Xenopus tropicalis: one gene and its partners. The protein of the gene in region 1 interacts with the protein of each later gene in a pairwise test. Links are inferred from orthologs where the notes say so. Each region holds a gene or a part of one and is shown in the gene's direction. Other genes may lie near its edges. The genes, in order: pknox1, pbx2, pbx3 and nup58.

Region 1 (5,783 bases):
GCCTCGCTTTCCCACACTGGCGCAAAGTCGCTGGGCACATGGGGCACTTTCCCGCCTCGCTTTCCCACACTGGCGCAAAGTCGCTGGGCACATGGGGCACTTTCCCGCCTCGCTTTCCCACACTGGCGCAAAGTCGCTGGGCACATGGGGGCACTTTCCCGCCTCGCTTTCCCACACTGGCGCAAAGTCGCTGGGCACATGGGGCACTTTCCCGCCTCGCTTTCCCACACTGGCGCAAAGTCGCTGGGCACAGAAGGGCACTTTCCCGCCTCCCTTTCCCACACTGGCGCAAAGTCGCTGGGCACAGGGGGCACTTTCCCGCCTCCCTTTCCCACACTGGTGCAAAGTCGCTGGGCACAGAGGGCACTTTCCCGCCTCCCTTTCCCACACTGGCGCAAAGTCGCTGGGCACAGGGGGCACTTTCCCGCCTCCCTTTCCCACACTGGCGCAAAGTCGCTGGGCACAGAGGGCACTTTCCCGCCTCGCTTTCCCACACTGGCGCAAAGTCGCTGGGCACAGAGGGCACTTTCCCGCCTCGCTTTCCCACACTGGCGCAAAGTCGCTGGGCACAGAAGGGCACTTTCCCGCCTCCCTTTCCCACACTGGCGCAAAGTCGCTGGGCACAGGGGGCACTTTCCCGCCTCCCTTTCCCACACTGGCGCAAAGTCGCTGGGCACAGGGGGCACTTTCCCGCCTCGCTTTCCCACACTGGCGCAAAGTCGCTGGGCACAGGGGGCACTTTCCCGCCTCCCTTTCCCACACTGGCGCAAAGTCGCTGGGCACAGGGGGCACTTTCCTGCCTCGCTTTCCCACACTGGCGCAAAGTCGCTGGGCACAGGGGGCACTTTCCCGCCTCCCTTTCCCACACTGGCGCAAAGTCGCTGGGCACAGAGGGCACTTTCCCGCCTCGCTTTCCCACACTGGCGCAAAGTCGCTGGGCACAGAAGGGCACTTTCCCGCCTCCCTTTCCCACACTGGCGCAAAGTCGCTGGGCACAGGGGGCACTTTCCCGCCTCCCTTTCCCACACTGGCGCAAAGTCGCTGGGCACAGGGGGCACTTTCCTGCCTCGCTTTCCCACACTGGCGCAAAGTCGCTGGGCACAGAAGGGCACTTTCCCGCCTCCCTTTCCCACACTGGCGCAAAGTCGCTGGGCACAGGGGGCACTTTCCCGCCTCCCTTTCCCACACTGGCGCAAAGTCGCTGGGCACAGGGGGCACTTTCCCGCCTCCCTTTCCCACACTGGCGCAAAGTCGCTGGGCACAGGGGGCACTTTCCCGCCTCCCTTTCCCACACTGGCGCAAAGTCGCTGGGCACAGGGGGCACTTTCCCGCCTCGCTTTCCCACACTGGCGCAAAGTCGCTGGGCACAGGGGGCACTTTCCTGCCTCGCTTTCCCACACTGGCGCAAAGTCGCTGGGCACAGGGGGCACTTTCCCGCCTCGCTTTCCCACACTGGCGCAAAGTCGCTGGGCACAGGGGGCACTTTCCCACACTGGCGCAAAGTCGCTGGGCACAGAGGGCACTTTCCCGCCTCCCTTTCCCACACTGGCGCAAAGTCGCTGGGCACAGGGGGCACTTTCCCGCCTCGCTTTCCCACACTGGCGCAAAGTCGCTGGGCACAGGGGGCACTTTCCCGCCTCCCTTTCCCACACTGGCGCAAAGTCGCTGGGCACAGGGGGCACTTTCCCGCCTCGCTTTCCCACACTGGCGCAAAGTCGCTGGGCACAGGGGGCACTTTCCCGCCTCCCTTTCCCACACTGGCGCAAAGTCGCTGGGCACAGGGGGCACTTTCCCGCCTCCCTTTCCCACACTGGCGCAAAGTCGCTGGGCACAGGGGGCACTTTCCCGCCTCGCTTTCCCACACTGGCGCAAAGTCGCTGGGCACAGGGGGCACTTTCCCGCCTCGCTTTCCCACACTGGCGCAAAGTCGCTGGGCACAGGGGGCACTTTCCCGCCTCGCTTTCCCACACTGGCGCAAAGTCGCTGGGCACAGGGGGCACTTTCCCGCCTCGCTTTCCCACACTGGCGCAAAGTCGCTGGGCACAGGGGGCACTTTCCCGCCTCCCTTTCCCACACTGGCGCAAAGTCGCTGGGCACAGGGGGCACTTTCCCGCCTCGCTTTCCCACACTGGCGCAAAGTGGGCCTCAGTAGAACCCGCAGGGCGGGGCCAATGAGAGTAATACTCAGAAGTGGGCGGTCGGTGCGTACATACGTGTGGCGCTAAAGGGCGGCATGGTAATAAGCGGCGTGGTACGTGATGACGTAGGCGCCCCTGCGGGTCCCGATTGCTGCAGCCGCTTGTCAGTGTGACGAAGATTGGCAGCGGGTAATGTGTCAGTCACAGCGCCGCCCGCCCGCCCGCTCTACTCCCGCTGCTTCCCGGCAGCCGCCGCGCCCCCTGTGGGCACCGCTAGCGCCCCTCCCAGCCCCACTGGGCCCTACCGACACCGCCAGGCTGCCCCCTTTCCGCTGTGCGCGCCCCCGCACCCACCCGCTCTCCTGCACTGCGCGCCGCCGGACCCTCCCTCATCCTCCCCCCCGCCTGTGCGCGCACACCCCTGTCTGTAGTCACATGGGCTGAGCAGCCTATCCGCGCCCGGCTCTTTCTCTATCGGCCAATCGGCGCTGAGCGGGAACTGTTACTGGGGAGGGAAGGGAATGTAGGGAACGCGCGGGGAGGGGCCAGCTGCTGGGGGCGGGGTATGGGGGCTCAATCTGTGAGTGGGTAGTGCTGAAGGGAGGGGCACAGTACTGAGGGATGATATATATATGTTGGGCCATATGTACACAGTGACATGTTGGTGTGTGGGGCCCTGTGTCAGTCTGAGAGACATTCATGGGCTGTATGGGGCAACATTGGGCCCTGTGTGTGGGGGGGGCTACCAGTAGGCTATGGTGGGGCCCAAATATACAGGGCCCATATATACACAGGGGGGTATAGTGTGTGTATGGGGGGGCCCATATATAGACAGAGTGGGGCCACATGTATGGGGGTATAGTGTGTGTATGGGGGGGCCCATATATAGACAGAGTGGGGCCACATGTATGGGGGTATAGACAGACTAGGCCTGAGGGACAGCGGTGGGGAAGCCCCCAGTTCTGTTGGAGAGGACAGAGGTAAAAGTCCACTTTTTACACATAATTTAAAAATCCACATTTTCATAAACCAAATATATTAATTTCTGCCCATTTTATTCCTCACACTAAAGGTTGTCTGTCCTAGTTTCCCCACTCAGTTCCACTTGTAAAATGGGATTCCTGGGGCCACAGTTTTGTGGGGTTCAGCGACACCTGGTACATTCCCCGATTAGCTGGGTATTAACCGGACCTGCTGACCCTACTCATAGGCCTAAGGTAACCGGACCCGCTGAGTAGGGATAGGCCTAAGGTAACCGGACCTGCTGAGTAGGGATAGGCCTAAGGTAACCGGACCCGCTGAGTAGGGATAGGCCTAAGGTAACCGGACCCGCTGAGTAGGGATAGGCCTAAGGTAACCGGACCCGCTGAGTAGGGATAGGCCTAAGGTAACCGGACCCGCTGAGTAGGGATAGGCCTAAGGTAACCGGACCTGCTGAGTAGGGATAGGCCTAAGGTAACCAAACCCACTGAGTAGGGATAGGCCTAAGGTAACCGGACCTGCTGAGTAGGGATGGGCCTAAGGTAACCGGACCTGCTGAGTATTGATAGGCCTAAGGTAACCGGACCTGCTGAGTAGGTATAGGCCTAAGGTAACCGGACCCGCTGAGTAGGGATAGGCCTAAGGTAACCGGGCCCGCTGAGTAGGGATAGGCCTAAGGTAACCAAACCCACTGAGTAGGGATAGGCCTAAGGTAACCGGACCTGCTGAGTAGGGATAGGCCTAAGGTAACCGGACCTGCTGAGTAGGGATAGGCCTAAGGTAACCGGACCTGCTGAGTAGGGATGGGCCTAAGGTAACCGGACCTGCTGAGTATTGATAGGCCTAAGGTAACCGGGCCTGCTGAGTAGGTATAGGCATAAGGTAACCGGACCCGCTGAGTAGGGATAGGCCTAAGGTAACCGGACCTGCTGAGTAGGGATAGGCCTAAGGTAACCAAACCCGCTGAGTAGGGATAGGCCTAAGGTAACCGGACCTGCTGAGTAGGGATAGGCCTAAGGTAACCGGACCCGCTGAGTAGGGATAGGCCTAAGGTAACCGGGCCTGCTGAGTAGGGATAGGCCTAAGGTAACCGGACCTGCTGAGTAGGGATAGGCCTAAGGTAACCGGACCTGCTGAGTAGGGATAGGCCTAAGGTAACTGGGCCTGCTGAGTAGGGATAGGCCTAAGGTAACTGGGCCTGCTGAGTAGGGATAGGCCTAAGGTAACCGGACCTGCTGAGTAGGGATGGGCCTAAGGTAACCGGACCTGCTGAGTATTGATAGGCCTAAGGTAACCGGGCCTGCTGAGTAGGTATAGGCATAAGGTAACCGGACCCGCTGAGTAGGGATAGGCCTAAGGTAACCGGACCTGCTGAGTAGGGATAGGCCTAAGGTAACCGGGCCTGCTGAGTAGGGATAGGCCTAAGGTAACCGGACCCGCTGAGTAGGGATAGGCCTAAGGTAACCGGACCTGCTGAGTAGGGATAGGCCTAAGGTAACCGGACCTGCTGAGTATTGATAGGCCTAAGGTAACCGGGCCTGCTGAGTAGGTATAGGCATAAGGTAACCGGACCCGCTGAGTAGGGATAGGCCTAAGGTAACCGGACCTGCTGAGTAGGGATAGGCCTAAGGTAACCGGGCCTGCTGAGTAGGGATAGGCCTAAGGTAACCGGACCCGCTGAGTAGGGATAGGCCTAAGGTAACCGGACCCGCTGAGTAGGGATAGGCCTAAGGTAACCGGGCCTGCTGAGTAGGTATAGGCATAAGGTAACCGGACCCGCTGAGTAGGGATAGGCCTAAGGTAACCGGACCTGCTGAGTAGGGATAGGCCTAAGGTAACCGGGCCTGCTGAGTAGGGATAGGCCTAAGGTAACCGGACCCGCTGAGTAGGGATAGGCCTAAGGTAACCGGACCTGCTGAGTAGGGATAGGCCTAAGGTAACCAAACCCGCTGAGTAGGGATAGGCCTAAGGTAACCGGACCTGCTGAGTAGGGATCAACTATTATTTTAGGACACACAGTGGGTCCTTTGACCATGAGAAACCCAGTCATAGAATGTTCTTTACTTTCCTTTTGGGAGAAACTCGGGTTCAGCCTGAGGGGTCTCAGGGATGGGACAGAGAGTTCTCCCCCCCCCAATGTACAATAGAGGGTGGAGTTTAAAGAACATGTAAACCCCCCACACACAAATATTTTAACAGTGAAAAGCCTCCTTGAAATCTTTCAATACCTGCCCCACTGGGTGCCCAGAGGTTAATAGAAAGGCTGCAACATCCCCTTAATCACTTAGATTTCCTTCTCTTCCTGTAACCCACTCGCCCCCCCCTCAGGAATTTGCTATGACTTCTGGCTTGTGGGCATGCTCAGTTGTTCTAAGCTCAGATTACTAAACACCCCCCCCAGCCTAGCAGCCAATGATGAGATGGCATTTGCTGGTTACCATAGAAACTCAGTTCTAGTTGTCTGCTTCAATTTTTTTCTCCTAACCTCCTCTCCTGAGCTCAGCTCAAACAAAGCAGAACTTTTATCAGAGACAGTTGTGCCTGTGTAAGCCTGCATTGTTGATGAAATGTACGCTGAATAAGAGTCTGTGTGTGTGTAGGCTGTTTGCAGATTTAAATGTATTTGATTATGTATCAGAGGGAAAATGGCCGCCGGGTGAAAGC
Region 2 (5,684 bases), on another chromosome or scaffold:
GAAATGTCATCCCACCAGGGAGAATGTAAATCGCCGATGGGAGGGCATACGATGGCGCCACGATTTCCCCCAAATCGTGGAAGTTGCCTTGAGAGGAAATTTCGGCAAAATCGCGGCGCCCTGTATGCCAATCCCACCACCGATTTACATTCTTGCCTGTGGGATGGCACATGGGGAGATTAGTCACCCGCGACAAATCTCCCTTTGTTATACAGATAAAGGCATTTGGACTGCATTTGGCCTACCTTGGGGGCCATGGGAGTCATACATTTCTTTGTATTTTACAGTATATTATCATCCTACCACACACATATACTCGCAAGAAGTTGGGCAGCACTGATTTTGTATTTACCAGTAATCTATAATCTCATGAAATTGCAATCTCTAATTTTACTCTGTAAGATGTAGATGTGTAAAAAATGATAATGCGCATTTGATGTGTTATATATGCTGAATATGGCCCATACACACAGATGCACACGATTTATGTCATACATACAGGAAACAAAGTCTCCCTGGGAATTAATTTCAAGTGTTGGCAATTATGATGGAAGCCTACACATAGTAGAAATACAGTGACACTGGCTCTGTCCATCGGCTCCCAAAATATCCTTATCAATTTTTTTAAGGTTTTGGTTACTTATTTATTATAATTTCATGCAACCTAGGAAAACCCAAGATAGCTTAGGGTGAAAACCCATGACACATGGAGCTACTAGTAGCAGCTACTTGTCATGGCTACAGAAATAGACAATGCTGATCATTTACTGATAATTTTCTTTACGTGTGTTTTAGCAGAGGCAATTCTTGGTATTGTCTATGGCAGTGTATTTTCTGGTGTTTAGTAGCCGTGAAAAGTAGCTGCTACTAAATAGCTCTGTGTGTCTTCACCATTTGCCTCGCAAGGAAACTTCGGTATGACAAACGTGTCATTTACGTTTTCCGAAGTCACCCGAAGTTTCCTTGCAAAGCAACTTCGAGCAACCGAAGCGATGCATATGCCATCCCACCGGCGATTTACATTCTTGCTGGTGGGATGGCATGTTGGGGAGATTAGTCGCCCGCAAAAGTAAAGATTTATTGTGGGCAACTAATCTCCCTGTGTGCCACTGTCCTTAGGCTAATGTTCCACAGAGGGAGTTAGCCGCCCATGATACCGCAGGCAATTGACCACTGGTTGGGGACCAGTGACTTAGGAAGTCAAGTCAGATGGCGCATTATCCGCTATGCCTCTGGAACTACCTTACATCCACTGATCCATACCCACAGGAAAATAAGTCAAGCCAGGAAGGCTTCTTGTGGCACACGTATAAGCAACTGCTATGCATGCTGGGTAAAATTCACATTACACTGTGAACTATGAATAGTCTTATGGAGGAATATGAATAGAGTAAATAGTCATAAATAAGGTCAAGTCACATAACTGGGGAGCATTAAATAATGCAAACATTTATTTGACATTTCTGCGTTTAAAGCGTTCGATTAAAACTTCACTGGACAACGACCTTGCGATGGATATTGCGAGTATCATTACTGTAAATAGGGCAGGAAACACTAGTAGGCAGCAATGGAGTCGACGTTGAGCCTGAAAAAGCTTTGTGAGAGTTGTAGTTTAGAAACATCTAAAGGGCCAGAGTGCAGTAGGGCGCAGACCGGCGCAGCAAGTAAAGCATTAGGGAGCTGCCGAGAGGGGGCAGCAGTGAGCTGTGATTCCCTAGGAAAGGGGAGAGGCAGGACAAGCACATTCCTCCCTCCTCCCTCTCTCCTCCTTCCCTTTCCCTCCCCCTCCCTAGCTATTCACCATTTTACACTCCTCTTTTCCCAGCTTCAATACAGCGCTACTGGCTTTTTTTAGGGATCCCAGAAAAAAGCGAAGCAGGATTGCACCCCACCCCAAAAATCATCCGGACTGAGCTGTCCGAGTCTTAGCGATTTAGCCGCCCAGGCGCGTCGGACAGTGCAACACGGAGCGATCTATCGGAGGAGCCACTTGAGGAGAAAGGAAGCCTGGGCGCGATCTGTATACACTGCCTACAGTCGGGGCTTCGTAGGCGCTGCTGGGAGAGGAGGCGAATTCCTTCCGAGCAAATCGCATGGTGGAAGCACAGAGCGATCAGTAGAGCAGGACGGGACTACTCGGGGCAGGAGGAGAGTTCTATGAAGGGCAGGGGGAGTTGTACAAGGAGACAGAGCTGAGGGGACAAGTGAGAAACACACATAAAAACAGGAGAGCGATCCCTCGCTGGTGCTCAGATGGATGAACAAGGCAGGCTGATGCAGGCCAGGGGGGTGGGGATTCCAGGACACCCCATTCATGGGGGGCCCCAAACTCTCACTCCTCATCCTATGCATGAACCCCCGGCAGACAATGGGGAGCCCAGGAAACAGGATATCGGTGACATATTGCAACAGATCATGACTATCACGGACCAGAGCCTTGATGAAGCCCAGGCAAAGTGAGTACAAGAGGGAGGGGGTAACGTTAGGTGCTGGAGAGGCCTTTGTGTGTATAGTAGCCTGCTCCGTGTGTATGGTAGCCTGCAATTGTGGGTTTTCCCCTCTGTCCACCAATCCCTGCTCAGGAAGCCCATTACCCGACGCCGAATCCTTCTTTCCACTAAAACAGGCCCAGCAGCTCCCTACACAGCACAGTTTCCAAGCCTTTCACTTCCAAACTTAATGCCCGGTATCCTTTAGCTTTTGAGTGGTCCCTGGAGGATGCTGGGAGTTGTAGTCCAGTTAAAGCAATGTTGGGAATCATGCCATACAGAAGTACTTAGGGGTTCTGGTACCCATAGAAATAAACCTACGACCATGCTAAAGCCCTCCAGGTGTTGTTTTCCCCCAGCTGTTGGGGTTTCAGTGAGTTGTAGTTCAACCAAAATACATTTTAGTGAATTTTGTACAATAACCTTATACTTAATCCTGTATAAAGTGGATATTCTAAATCTGTATGGAAAACTCAAGTAATGTTATAAGTGTAAGCTTTATACACACTTCCTGCTGATTTGTTTTTAAAACTCAGTGTTTAGAAATCCCTTAAATCCCCTTTGTGATGCTGTTAGGCCCAAGCAACATCTGTTCGTGCTGTAAGAGTAAAAGCCATTTACATTTTTGCTTCCTTAGTACAGCACAAACATAAGTTATATTGTATCATTTATGCCTTGCCATTGCTTAGCGGAAAAGTGACATGTAATAATGTAACCAAATGCACGATTCTAAACATTCTGTGTAAGCTGCAGCTGTAGGGTTGACATCTAAGGATTTCCTTTGCCAGGGCTACTAAATCTTTTTCCTGGATATATGATAAATACATATATTAGATGTATAACATAGTAACATAGTTACTATAGATAGATATGTGTGTGTGTTTATCTGTATGTTTATCTTCAAGCTCCTCCCCTTGTTAAACAAGTATGTCTGCCTCCTAACTTTCTCAAAAATGTATCCTCTTACTTTAGCAGCAACAGTTACTCTTTCCATTGGACAATCAGGGGGAACAGAACCCTCAGTCCCAATTAATTCATTATGTGGTCCTTTACTGTAGATATATTGTAAGGGTCTTGTATGATATTTGTGTACCACTGTGCTGTAAAAATAGATGACACACAAATATATACCCTGGTCATACAAATATATGTACAGAGTCAATGGGAAATTAATAATTATTTTTTTTAGAATTTAAGCCCTTGTGAACAAAGCTTCATGTCCACATGTTCCTTCTTTGTTTAATTAAATTTCTTTAACCTTCTTCGACAGAAACCAAATTCAGTATCTTTTCATGACAGTTGTAAGAATCTTCAGTGTATCCAAGTGGATCATAGGGACAAACATTGACCCATTATTGTACCCTAAACAGAACCAGAGTTTTGCTGTACTGCTGTGTAGGGTAGGCCTAAACATATGCAGCCACTCATGGTTTGTGTACTATCAGTCACTGTAATATGCTATGCTTTTGTTACTTATCCCGCGTATATAAAAACAATTCTAGCAACCTAATGCTTATTTAAGGTTAGTGCTCTATAAAATTAACTGTAACCTTTGCAACATGGATTCTTTATTTTCGCCATGTGCATTTGGATAGGCTCTGCAATGTGCTGGATTCCCAAACTGTTAACTTTAGAGCAGCTGCAAAGCAATAGGGCCTTTCTGGAACAGCACTGGTTAAATAAACTCCTTTGTCTGCTACCAGAATTCATAAGAACACCTCATACCTTCCTTTCTGCACTACTACTACATTCCTTATAAATACACATCATAATCACTGCACTTAATCTACCCTATAAACTGCATCTTAATAAGAACATTGATTAGCTCATAACACAACCAGAATGATGTCATTTATCCCATGCTGCTCACTAGGCCTTGCACTTCCATTACTCGTAACCACAGCTATGTTTATTACTATTAAGCTACTCTGTGTAATTGTACTTTCTAAGTATAATACAAGTCAATAATTGAGTCCTTTGCACTGCAAAAGGCTAAGTCTACAGATTGCCTGGCTTTTAGTTGATCTTGTTGACATTACACGATTAGGGAAAACACAGGCTTTTGTTATAATCTGTGATGTGCTTTTAAGGCTTTTGTGATTCTAATAGCACTGTATGCTGCAGTCTTACTGGGTGTAATTTCATCTTATTTCCCTATGAAAATAGAAAAGTTCAAAGGCCCTACAATTTGCTTTTCTTCATGCATCAATCTTGCTATTCTGGTATTTACCTCTGGCAGCCCATAAATGTACAATTGTATGGATATTTATTTTGAGAAGGTGCATTTTATCTAATGGTACAGTCATGCTAATCCAATTAATTCCCTTGGAAAATGAAAAAATATTTGTTATATCAGACTTTTTAAATATTGCCTCTCAGTGAATAACTCACACATTTACCATAGCTGATATTTCTAATATAGAATAGTCTGGCTTTTTTGTTAATGTATTCTATGAATTTTTCCCTTGAAGGAGAGGAAAATGCATGGTGCCCTAGCTTGTTGTTTGTGCACAAAATATCCGTTTTATTAATAATTACCTTTATACATGCATTCCCCACAAAAGAGCATCATTGGCGCTTATGTATAGGTTATCTGTTCTAATAATTTATGTATAAAATGTCTCAGCTGAGGATGTAATCCTCTATTCGTTTGAAGAAAGTATAAATACATAAAAGGACTTCTTTTTTTTTTATACTGTGTAAGATTGTTACAATTGTATCATATTTGTTCTTCTAGTTTATGCTTAGTTAAAGAGGGGTGGATACAATATCCTACTGGTTCCCAAAGTCACTTGTCAAGGAAATACTCTTGTTTTAGCTGAGCTACTGTACTTTTGTATTCAGTTGTATGTGATGTTAACTGGCATTGTTCCATCCTATTTCATCATGCACTTATGCTCATTTCACACAGGACAGTTTCTCTGTCTGTGTATTTTAAGCTGGCCATACACGCACCGATAATATTGTACGAAACCTCATTTAGTACGATATTCGGTGCGTGTATGGCATTTCGGTGAGGTGACCAATATCGCAGGAGGCTGCAGATATCGAACGACTTGCAGATCGGGCGGGTTAAAAGATTTTGATCGGGCGCCATTGAAGGTGCCTGAGCAAAATCTATGTTCAGGGCTGCATTGGCAGAAGGAGGTAGAAATCCTGTTGTTTCTACCTCCGTATCTGATGATTCAGCCCTGA
Region 3 (5,730 bases), on another chromosome or scaffold:
TCGGAAAAATCCGTTTCAGATGATTTCCAATATCCATGTACTGTGGATATATGTTGGTTCACAGATCTGGCAGGTTTGAAAACTTCATCTGCCAATACAGCATGCCAGCCAGCCAGTGGAGTAACTACACTGTGCTGCACCCCCCAAAAAAAATCTTTGAAGGGGCTCAGCGCAGAGTAGCAAACCTTTCCAGGCTCCTTTCCCCCACCCGCAGGTGTCCACCCCCCCCACCCACCTACCTGAGAGCCAGCAGGGATTTATATGCAACAATAGAGGAAGCAGGCCCCACGGTTTGGGTCCCCCTGTTCCACGGACCTTCCGTGGCTGCAGGGTCTGTTTCCTCTATTATTACACTAATGCAGTCACCGCATGGTGCAACAGCAGATGAGCAAGTGGAGAAGTACTGCAGTTGCTTCACTTCCTGCTGTTGTGATCATTGGGTTGTCTACCCAAATGATTGAAACAACAGAAAGGCAGCCATGGAGTGGATGTCCCCTTTGACGCACTCTGTGTGAGCTGAACTCTATCTGATCAGTTGTGAACATTCCTGATCAGACAATGTATAGCCACCTTGGGTGTTCATGGCAGATTCCTGATTTCATAATGTTCACTAACAACAAAGTTATGAACTTAGAAATTCACTAGAGGGTTTGAACTGAAAAAGACCATTGCCCTAGACTAGAATGACCCAATGACTGGGGTAACAGGGTTGAAGGCCATTTTGGGTTAGTTAAGTTATATGTGTTAAATACTGTCCTACATACTCCTGGAAGCCTGTATGGCCGGTCAGTGTGATATCTGGAGTAATAGCTTGTACAATGTTTTTATACTGTATATATGTCACTATGTTAATGGGTAAGGGATGGACCACTAAGAAGTGCATCATGTTTTTGATGAAAAAAAGCTGTTTTATTTTCTTTTGTCATATCTAAAATTTAATTAGCCCCCTAAACTCCCATTTGGTAGGTCACTGAATTCTAGATCTGGGCACACGTTTACACCACTCTTCAGTGTTTGACTGAATCAGCTGCAGGGGAAGGGCCACAACTAGTGGAAGGCAGCAGAGGCATGTGCCTTGGGTGCAAGTGAGCAGGCCTGAGGGCCCTGTGCGTGAATGAGGGGGATGGTATTTTCATTGGAGCAAGCAAGCAGGGTACAAGGCTCCACCCCCCCTCCAATGGTCTGGGCCCAATAAACCCTATGTGACTAGCCTTATTGCTCAAAAATACTTTTCGCTGGGGTACCTCATTAACTTTCATCTACCAATGTGGAAAAGCAAACTACTGGATAGGGTTCAATATAGCCACCTATACATGCAGGCAACTTGCTTACAATTCTGTTGTTCAACTAGGGCTGGGCGGTATGACCAAACATTTTTCAAAATTATATCGGTGTCACGGTATTTGACGGTATTTTTTTTTTCCATGCATGATTAGGTGTTAACCCCATTTCCTAATAAATTAGAGAATAATTACTGCAGTATTGAAAATCAGAGTCAGGCAAGCGAAGGATCGGCAACAGAAAGTCGTAAGGTAAATCAGGCAGGCTTAGTTTCCCAGGCAAGGCCGCAGACAACATAGCACAGGAGGAGGAGTTTGATAGCTTTAAATATCCCCCACGCATGCGCAGGACCGGCGCCATCAGCGCATCATGGACGTGCACGCTTTGATATGTACGTGCGCTTTGACGCACGCGCACCTGGACGCCTGTGCGCAATGTCCCGCAGACAACGGGCCGCACGGGTGAGTACCCTGACACCCCGGTATTGCGGTATCTGAAAAATGAATATAGTTTAAAAAAAACAACACCGGTATTCGGTATTAAACGGTATATCGCCCAGCCCTATGTTCAACACTACCTTACCATTAGCCTGGGTTGAGTTTTGGAGCCAATGGTAATTGCAGCGGCTAAAACTGACATAACTAGCCAGACGATGTCCAGCAAAGTTGGCCAAAATATGGCAGCCATGGTTGGACATTGGGGGGGGACCCCCTGCCTAGATAGGAGATACTTGAGACCTACCAATGTAAGTGCCTAAGCAGCCTTATTAGTTCCAATGAGAGCATAAAATGTAAGCTTTTCTACTACTCTCTTCCTTCTCTCACCATTTATACCTTGTTTTGTTTGAAAAAAAAATAACATTATGCAACATAACCAGGTAACATGTTGTTTATATATCCTTCATACCAGGTGGGCCTGCAGGATACTCACGCTTAACTAAACTCCAAAAACCCTGTTCAACGACAACTTTTACCCGAGTTGGGCAGCCACTTTCCTCACTGAGAAGCAACGAGAGCGGAGCTGATGCTGCCCTTTCTCCTCACTCGCAGCATCCCTCAATCTCCCGCCCTGCCCGCTGCCATGGAAACCAGAGGAGGACCAGCCGCCCAATCCCCGCCCACTAAAGAAAAATGACCGTATGAGTATGAACATTCCAATTCACGAATCATAAAGTGTTTGGACCGGCGGGAACACTACGCGGCGGCAACCTACCTTGCTCTCACCTTCACCGGCTAACGATGATAGGAAGAAGAGCAAAGTTCAGACAGGCCATTGGTTACCTGTCACACCTCGCATAGCAACGGCGGCAAAGGTGCGTCGCAGCGCCCTAGCAACCGCCAAACCCGCGCCATTTCTCCGAGGCGAGTGGGGAGCGGGCGGGGGATAGAAGGAGAGTGGGGAGAAGCGACAATAGCGCCGCCCTTTGCCCCTCCCCCTTTCCTTTCTCGGGGCCCCGCACACGGGGAGGAGGAGCCTACCTCCATTATTTATATTTTGTCTCCCTTTTTATTTCCTCCCCTCCTTCAAAGTCTGACACGTCCGCAGTGAGTGAGTGGCGTTGGCAGCCTGTCAATCCGTCACCGGAGCCGGCAAGAGCGAAATAGCGGGGGAAGCAGCCATAAATCCCGCCCGGGAGTCCCGGCACCGGCCCCTCCATCCATCTCTTCCCCTCAGCTCCCCTTAGCCGCCGCCGCCGCCGAGAAGGGGAAAAAAAACTTTTTTTGATTGCTGCTCTGAGCCACCATCATCATCATCATCATCTTCCCCACACCGGGCACCTTAACCATTTCTATCTTATTACTCCCATTAATAGCTCAAGCTGCTGCTGCTTCTTCTCCCCCCACCCCTGGGCACAACTTTCATTTAGATTTTCTATACAAATATTTAATTTTGTAGTTTTCTTTTATTTATTTTTTTTTTTTACTACTGATTTGATGTTGGACACGACCCTGCAAAGGAGCTACCATCAGTCACTGATTTATTTATTTCTCTTAGAAAGGAGAATACTACCGGAGCAGCCGGAGATTGGCAGCGCTCGCTCAGAGAAGTGGATGAAGGATTGACTGGAAAACCCTGGTCCGAAATCAAAAAAAAAAATCAAAAGGGATCAATAAATGACCATCGTGGACATTGCTGAAAACGCGTTGATCTTTTCATCAAAATAGTCTGAATGTAATTCATTTCTATGCTGGCCAAAATGCATGGATGGGATAAGCACCGAATAGAAACTTGATTTTTTTTTTTTTTTTAATAATAAAACACGACTGGAACTGCTGTGAAGGAACATGTGTCACTAGTACTTATAGTGACGTAGAGGTTTGTGCTACATTTGAACATCTTTGTAGCAGATTTATTTTCCTCATTTGGAATGCATTGTTGGAATTGAAAAGAATTGAAATAAAGACTGAATTTACAGCAGCTCGTAATACTTCAAGAACTCAGAACCAGGTGCTCACTTGTTATTCTATTGAAAACTTAACACTATGTGAAAGGAGTAAACACAAATCATGCCTCTGCTGTGTGTGCCGTCATTTTGGAGTAAACTCTGACTGACCTGTCATTACCTGAAGATTAAAATACAGACAGAAGAAGATGCTGACTTTCATTTGCAACTTTTAATATGCCCCCTTTTCTCGTCCACGTTTTCTTGGAATAAAAAAAAAAAGAAACTTGACCTCTTCAGAAAGAGCATTTTTAAAATAAAAAGATTTTAGCTGCTGAAGGCGATCGCACCTGTAATACATTTTTATGAAACCCTACATGTTGTGGTTCTGATATTTGGATGGTATTTACATTGGTGGGATGAAATACTATCACAGACCTTGATTTAAAACTGCTCTGTCCATAGAGACTGGGTATCTGGTTGGATTCTGACGGTTGACGTTGTTGATGTGTGGGGCAGTAACCCCACAGCGGTGCTATCACTGGCTGTGAGGTCTCCTTGCAGTCTGTGTTGTCATTGATTAGGCTGCGGAGAAGAGTATGGACGAACAGACCAGGATGATGCAGACTTTGGCTGGGGTGGCCATGGCTGGCCACTCGGTTCAAGGGGGAATGACTTTACCTCCTCCCCATGGTCACGATGGGGGAGATGGTGACGGCAGGAAGCAGGACATTGGAGACATCCTGCACCAGATTATGACCATAACTGATCAAAGCTTGGATGAGGCACAAGCAAAGTTGGTTTCCACTGCAATAAAAACACACACACACACATCACCCCTTTCCCTCCCAACACATCACAGCAGCACATCACTCCAGTTCATCTTGGAGTGAACAACTTCTTACAAGCTGTTTGTCAAATAAACCAGCACATGTTTGGGTAGCGATGAGCAGTGTCTGAGATGCTGCTCGAAGCTGCTTGCATGGGGGTGAGATGATGCCCACGCTAGCAAACTGATATAAACACAGCTCGCAGCTATAACCAGGCTCTTGTTTATTTGTATGTAGAGATTCTCCCCTGGTGCTTGTAAATGTAGCTTCCAGGACCCCTCCAGTCCTTTCTCTTTCTGCCAGTGGGGTTGACACTGTCCCTATATATGGGGGAAAAACAATCATTATAAATAAATGTGGTTATGATGGAAATTACTAGTCTTTTACTGGCCTATGTATTAACAGAGTGTTTCCTATAAATGCCTCTTTAGGTTTATTCATTTCTCAACAAAAAAAGGCATACCATTTTCTGGTTCTAATCCATATATTGTCTATTAATTATAGATCTACTTCCAGGGCCACGTAAATATTTCTTTTCAAGCGCCTTTTAGGGGGAGTGTTATAAATTGGCATGTGTATGTGTATATATGGACACGCACATCAAGGAAAATGTTTATGTAGTCATTAATTGCTACCCAACTGCTGCTTAGTTCCTGACAATATGTGTGTGGGGGTATATATCTATATATATATATATATATATATATATATATATATATATATATTGAGATTTGATGTTATGAGTACAGTGTACATTAATTTTGTGAATACATTCCCCATTTCCTCACATATATTTACAAATAAATATTGTGGTTTTTTTGCATGCATCTGATGGATATTTTATGATATAATTAGGAGAACTGTAAAAAATCAAGTGCAGAAAATGTATAGCTGTGATAAAGTTAGCTCTTTTTAATAAATCACTAGATGTGGCTAGAAGCAGCTTGTTGCAGACAAGGACTGATTTATATTTTGAATAATAGCAAGCTAATTTGACATGTGAGTAAACATTAAATATTGTAAACCCTTCATAGTAAAAGCACCGCATCCAAAGTGTCAATCAGTTTTTGCAACTGTAGCAGGTGTGACTTAGTTCCCCCAAACTGAAAAATGTTGATGGCAATTAATAGCCTGCATATGGCAATCTATCAACTGTTTTTGATAGGGCTGATAAATCAGTGTATATAAAATGCAATTATTGTTTCTTGAAGTGGTAATGTCACATAAACGGAAAAG
Region 4 (4,985 bases), about 160 Mb from region 1:
GGTTCAGCCAGCCAGGCACTTGAATTCCACAAAATCCTACAAAAAAAAAAATGCTTTGATTGGGTGCATCCTTCACTCTCTCAATCTCATCATATGTTTCTATTCATTCACTCTTCATGCAGTAGGTGGAGTCAGTTTTGATTGAAAGGCCAAAGTCAATTATTTTGTTTGTTAGCTCTAACACATCTGATAGGAAAGGGAGTGTATTAAACCTACCTGCCAAAATAATAAAAGATGTATTAAACCTACCTGCCAAAATCAAAATATGACCCAGACTTCTGCATAAAAAGGGAATGAAGAGAGACAGAGTAACTTGATTATTTTCAGAGATGTACAGAATTTTGCATTGTTTTTATTTAGAAAGTTCCAATCCATTTTGGAGTTTTAGTTCCACAAGATCGCTGCTGCACTCCTTAATTTTTTCTGTTAAGAAACAAGGGATGTATTTGGTTTATAAAAAGTTTATGTAAGCTCCCTCTTTTGCACTGAACACGATTATTTGAGCACGTTTCACGGAGGGGTTTTTATAAAGACAAAAATACTACACTGTGTGTGTGTGTGTGTGTGTGTGTGTGTGTGTGTGTGTGTGTGTGTATATATATAATATATATATATATATATATATATCTCATATAATAAAATTACTGTTTGTTCTGTGCTTCTATCCCAAAGCCACCGGTGCTGGAAGAATTTCTATATAATATTAATTACTAAATTTAGACCCCACCAAGGTGAAACCAGAAGCATTGATACTTTGTGCATTTATAAGCTAATCTACACTATGTGTTTTCATTGCCTCATTTTCTTCACAGGGATAGCAAAGCATTTAAAGATGACAATCTACCTCAGTTGTTATGTCAAGATGTAGAAAATTTCCAGTAAGTATGGGCGGAAAACTTTGATAAATCCATCAGTGGTGCATTCATAGGTGCTGGCAAAAGATAAGAGCCACATGGAATGGCTCTCCGTAGATGCATTCCTTTGTAAGTGCATTGTTTTTTGGCTCATGTATAACATATTAACAATGTGTTGGTTATTACATGAAACAAAAAAAACAGTCACACAGTGGGTAACCGTTCATATTCTGTTTTTTTGTTAATGTCTAAAGGGATTATTCACTATCCATGGGGGGTGGATATCCTGGAGCACAAGCAAGTGTCCCTTATTGCTCACTTACAGAGCACTTATGCCCCCAGGGTTCCTAATTTTTTTTTCTTTTTAATTAGTGTTTTCAAAAATTGAATGTTCCTGATTTCTCAAAGTTTTGCTCTGGAAACTGATTCCTTGTTTGGTGACATTTGTTTTCTCGGTTCACAGGAAATTTGTGAAGGAGCAGAAACAAGTCCAGGAAGAGATCAGCCGAATGTCCTCCAAAGCAATGCTGAAAGTACAGGAAGACATTAAGGCATTAAGACAGCTTTTATCTGTTGCATCCAGCGGCCTCCAAAGGAATTCCTTGGCTATTGACAAGCTGAAAATTGAAACAGCTCAGGTACTCTTAATGATAGCAGTGGCTCAGAGTAAATTTCTATAATGCAGTAAAAATACTGGGTCAGATATTCAGTCTAAAAAACATCTTGCTCACAAATATTTTATAAAACTGAATAATGTAATGCATTGGGTATAAGAATGGTTGGAATTGTATACAGGTCAGTATGTCTGCTCTAACTGCTAGACAGTACAGACCCTGCTAAGTGTTTTATCATATTGTTTTATATTTTCTAGTTTTTTGTTTTTTTTTCGTTTTCTATATTTATTTTAGGAACTTAAGAATGCTGAAATAGCTTTAAGGACACAGAAAACACCTCCTGGACTTCAGCATGAAAATACTGCTCCAGCCGAGTAAGTTTATTTGAACAATTATTTGGGATCGTGCCACCTGAGGTTTTCTTAAAGCCACATAAAAGAAAAACATGTCCTGTAATCTAATAAAAATGCAAAGTTTGCACCAGGTTTGGAAACCCTTGGCATCAAGGTTGAGGTTTTAAAAGGGTCCTGTCACCCAGACAATAAAGAGATGTATAATAAGTCCTTTCCAATTAAAAATAAAACTCAAATTGTTTTTGTTAAAACATCCATGCCTGTTATAATAGTATTTAAAAATCTAAGATGTCAATCATGTATTGCCTGCCCCACCTCTATGCCTCAGGCATACAGGTCAGGATGGGCAATTACTTAAACTTTAAACATTTCCTAGATGTCATTGCACTTATCAACTTCCACTCTATCGCTTCCAGGGTTGGACTGGGGGGTGCAGGGCCCACCGGGGCTGCCATCCCAGGGGCCCTGCTGAGCCTCCCTTGCCCCCTGCTGAGCCTCTCTTACCCCCGCAGGGTCCTCCACCTGACGTCCTCCCCTGAGCACGCATAAGTTTAACGCGTCGGGAGCAACGGTTGGCCGGGGGACGGGTCTGGCCCTTCGCTGTCCCGCCGGCCCAGTCCGACCCTGATCAATTCCTATAATTGTGTAGCACGAATGTGTTCATTTTGGGGTGATGACACAAAGCTTACCTTAATATCATTGTCCACTATACCCTCCCAGGTATAAAATTGAATTCTCATTTCTAGCTATGTTACGAATGTTTACTTTAAATTACCATCTGCCTAGCTAAGGCAATTTATTCTGATTTTTCTGGTTGCAATTGTCCGCTAAAGGACAATGAATCTATATAGATGAGTCCTAACATTTGCTTTAGAGCACTGATTGCATCATTTGAAGGGTTCTTTTTCCAAACAGTAAATGGTTTAGCTTTTCCTTCATCTGTGTGCAGTGGTTCCATGACCTTACTTAAGCTGGTGATACACAGGAAGACCAAATTGTTAGTTAAATCGCATATGTATGAGAAAATACAGTTAAAATATCTATCAGAAAATACCAACCATCTTACAATGGCCCCTATTATGATCCAGTTGTTGGCCCTAAGGCCAAGCAGTTGGATTTGGCCAACCAAGCGAGCAGATCTTTTGGTTCATGATCAGCTTTACTGACATCATACAGCTTCTCCCCTTTGTTTTAGCTAATGATTTTAGTGGCGCATGTACCATTTTGTTAATTTTTTATTTTTTTTTTGGTAGTTATTTTCACACACTGGTGCAACAGTTTGAGGTCCAGTTACAGCAATACAGACAGCAAATTGAGGAACTGGAGAATCATCTAGCAACACAGTCAAATAGTTCACATTTGTCTCCCCAAGGTAACCAGATTTAGTCCCATAAGTTACTGTTTTATTTATCTGTGCATTTACAAACTTGTATTCCTGTATGTCAGTGTTGTTTATAAGAGACAAAAGTGAATGTCTTTTTCCAGACGCACACAGGAATGGAAGAACTCACTGTGGAGAACTGTCATGCTTTTTAAACTCATTGGAGGCAGATCCATTTCAATTCATTTTCTTGGTCAAAGAGTATAAAACATATTGCAAGAGGGTGCTGGGTGCTTTTCTCAAATGCGATTTGCGCTGAACAGCTGCTTGCAAAATTGCGATATACATCAATTAATAATATGCAGCATTTTTAGAATTTTTAATGTAATATAATTTAGAACAGTTACCTAGGCCTGGCCCCTGTCTCCTGCTGATCTGGCTGACTACTTTGATACTAAAAAAAAAAAAATAGTCGACTGTTCCTTAGCCTGTATCCTCAAAATCCAACAGTATAGCCATTTGTGTGCCTGGCGTCCTATTGGTTTGCTGACTGTGTTTTAAAGTGTTAGGCTGCTTTGTGTTTTCGATCTGACTGGAATAGAACCTAGTACTAAAATGATCTAGAACTAGAATACAACAAGATAGTCCACTTTATAGGGAGAAGGCATTGTAGACAATCTAGGTACTGGCGAGTTTGTATTCTTTTATGTTCTTACCTGTTGCATTTTATGTTGTTCATGTTTATATGTGTTTGTAATGTATTACCAACCACACACAGCCATTCCTAATCAGTACTGTGTTTTTCATGCTAGATTTGTCATTGGCAATGCAGAAGCTTTACCAAACATTTGTGGCCTTAGCTGCCCAGCTCCAGGCAGTAAATGAAAATGTTAAGGTAAGCGATAAGGATAATTTTTCTTGTGTTCTGAGACGCTATTGGATACCAACTAGAATATGTACTGAATACGTTCATAAACTTACCTGGATATAAGAAGTATTCTAAAATGCAGTGCTTGTAATTTCAATGTCTGTTTTGACTTCACTGGTTAAATCGTAGTATAAAAGCCAGAACTTGAGTGCTAAATCCAACACTTTCAAATGAGCAAAGCTGTTAAATAATTAGAACTTCCACCCCTTCACAATTGTACATATTGGTCCGACTTGAGTTTTGTAATTTTTGGTTATTGTTTTCATGTATATATTTTTTTTAAAATTCCAAGCTAAATCTGAGTGGTCTGCTGGCATTGTCTCTTTGATATAAAATCATATATAAGCACCAGAAGATATATGTAGCTCCTGAATATCTGAACATACTTACATATAATAATGCCTGTATGAAGGGTCAATGTTTCTACTTTGTAGGAAATGACTTTACAGATAAGGGGATCTTATAAATGGTGTCCACCTTTCCAGTTGCTTTCCATTATGTGCCTTTAGCAGTGCAAACTAAAATGGCTTTCCTTCAGATGCTCAAAGAACAGTACCTTGGCTACCGGAAAGCATATTTGGGCGACTCAGCAGATGTCTTTGAGGCGAGGCGAGCAGAAGCGAAGAAGTGGCAGAGTGCACCGCGTGTTACCACCGGACCCACCCCTTTCAGCAACATACCAAACGCCGCTGCCGTTGCCATGGCTGCAACATTAACGCAACAGCAGCAGCCTACCACAGGTCTGAATGCATTCAAGTTATAGATCTCTTCTGTTCTGACCTCAGTAAACTCCTGTCAACTTTTACACTGGGTCGTCTTATGCTGACAAAACATTCGTTATTTTATTTTTATTTTTTTTAACTACATAAAGCTTTTAGAATATGCGGGGTTATATTTGAGCAATAATAACTCAGA

What was found.
Region 2: the proteins of pknox1 (region 1) and pbx2 interact in binary tests that used the Homo sapiens proteins (3 or more experiments, as listed by UniProt). The link is inferred for Xenopus tropicalis from reciprocal best matches to the Homo sapiens genes PKNOX1 and PBX2.
Region 3: the proteins of pknox1 (region 1) and pbx3 interact in a two-hybrid assay, tested with the Homo sapiens proteins (2 studies listed by BioGRID and IntAct). The link is inferred for Xenopus tropicalis from reciprocal best matches to the Homo sapiens genes PKNOX1 and PBX3.
Region 4: the proteins of pknox1 (region 1) and nup58 interact in binary tests that used the Homo sapiens proteins (3 or more experiments, as listed by UniProt). The link is inferred for Xenopus tropicalis from reciprocal best matches to the Homo sapiens genes PKNOX1 and NUP58.

The regions. Positions count from the first base shown.
Region 1 is NC_030678.2:315,845-321,627, reverse strand, and holds the start of pknox1 (homeobox protein PKNOX1), read left to right. Parts: upstream 1-2,221; 5' UTR 2,222-2,327; intron 2,328-5,783. UniProt on the Homo sapiens protein: Activates transcription in the presence of PBX1A and HOXA1.
Region 2 is NC_030684.2:73,506,049-73,511,732, forward strand, and holds the start of pbx2 (pre-B-cell leukemia transcription factor 2), read left to right. Parts: upstream 1-1,800; 5' UTR 1,801-2,253; coding exon 2,254-2,456; intron 2,457-5,684. UniProt on the Homo sapiens protein: Transcriptional activator that binds the sequence 5'-ATCAATCAA-3'. Activates transcription of PF4 in complex with MEIS1.
Region 3 is NC_030684.2:27,662,259-27,667,988, reverse strand, and holds the start of pbx3 (pre-B-cell leukemia transcription factor 3), read left to right. Parts: upstream 1-2,448; 5' UTR 2,449-2,593; intron 2,594-2,647; exon of another isoform or gene 2,648-3,276; 5' UTR 3,277-4,263; coding exon 4,264-4,460; intron 4,461-5,730. UniProt on the Homo sapiens protein: Transcriptional activator that binds the sequence 5'-ATCAATCAA-3'.
Region 4 is NC_030678.2:156,327,540-156,332,524, reverse strand, and holds part of nup58 (nucleoporin p58/p45), read left to right. Parts: intron 1-812; coding exon 813-878; intron 879-1,317; coding exon 1,318-1,492; intron 1,493-1,762; coding exon 1,763-1,842; intron 1,843-3,074; coding exon 3,075-3,193; intron 3,194-3,954; coding exon 3,955-4,037; intron 4,038-4,608; coding exon 4,609-4,833; 3' UTR 4,834-4,985. UniProt on the Homo sapiens protein: Component of the nuclear pore complex, a complex required for the trafficking across the nuclear membrane.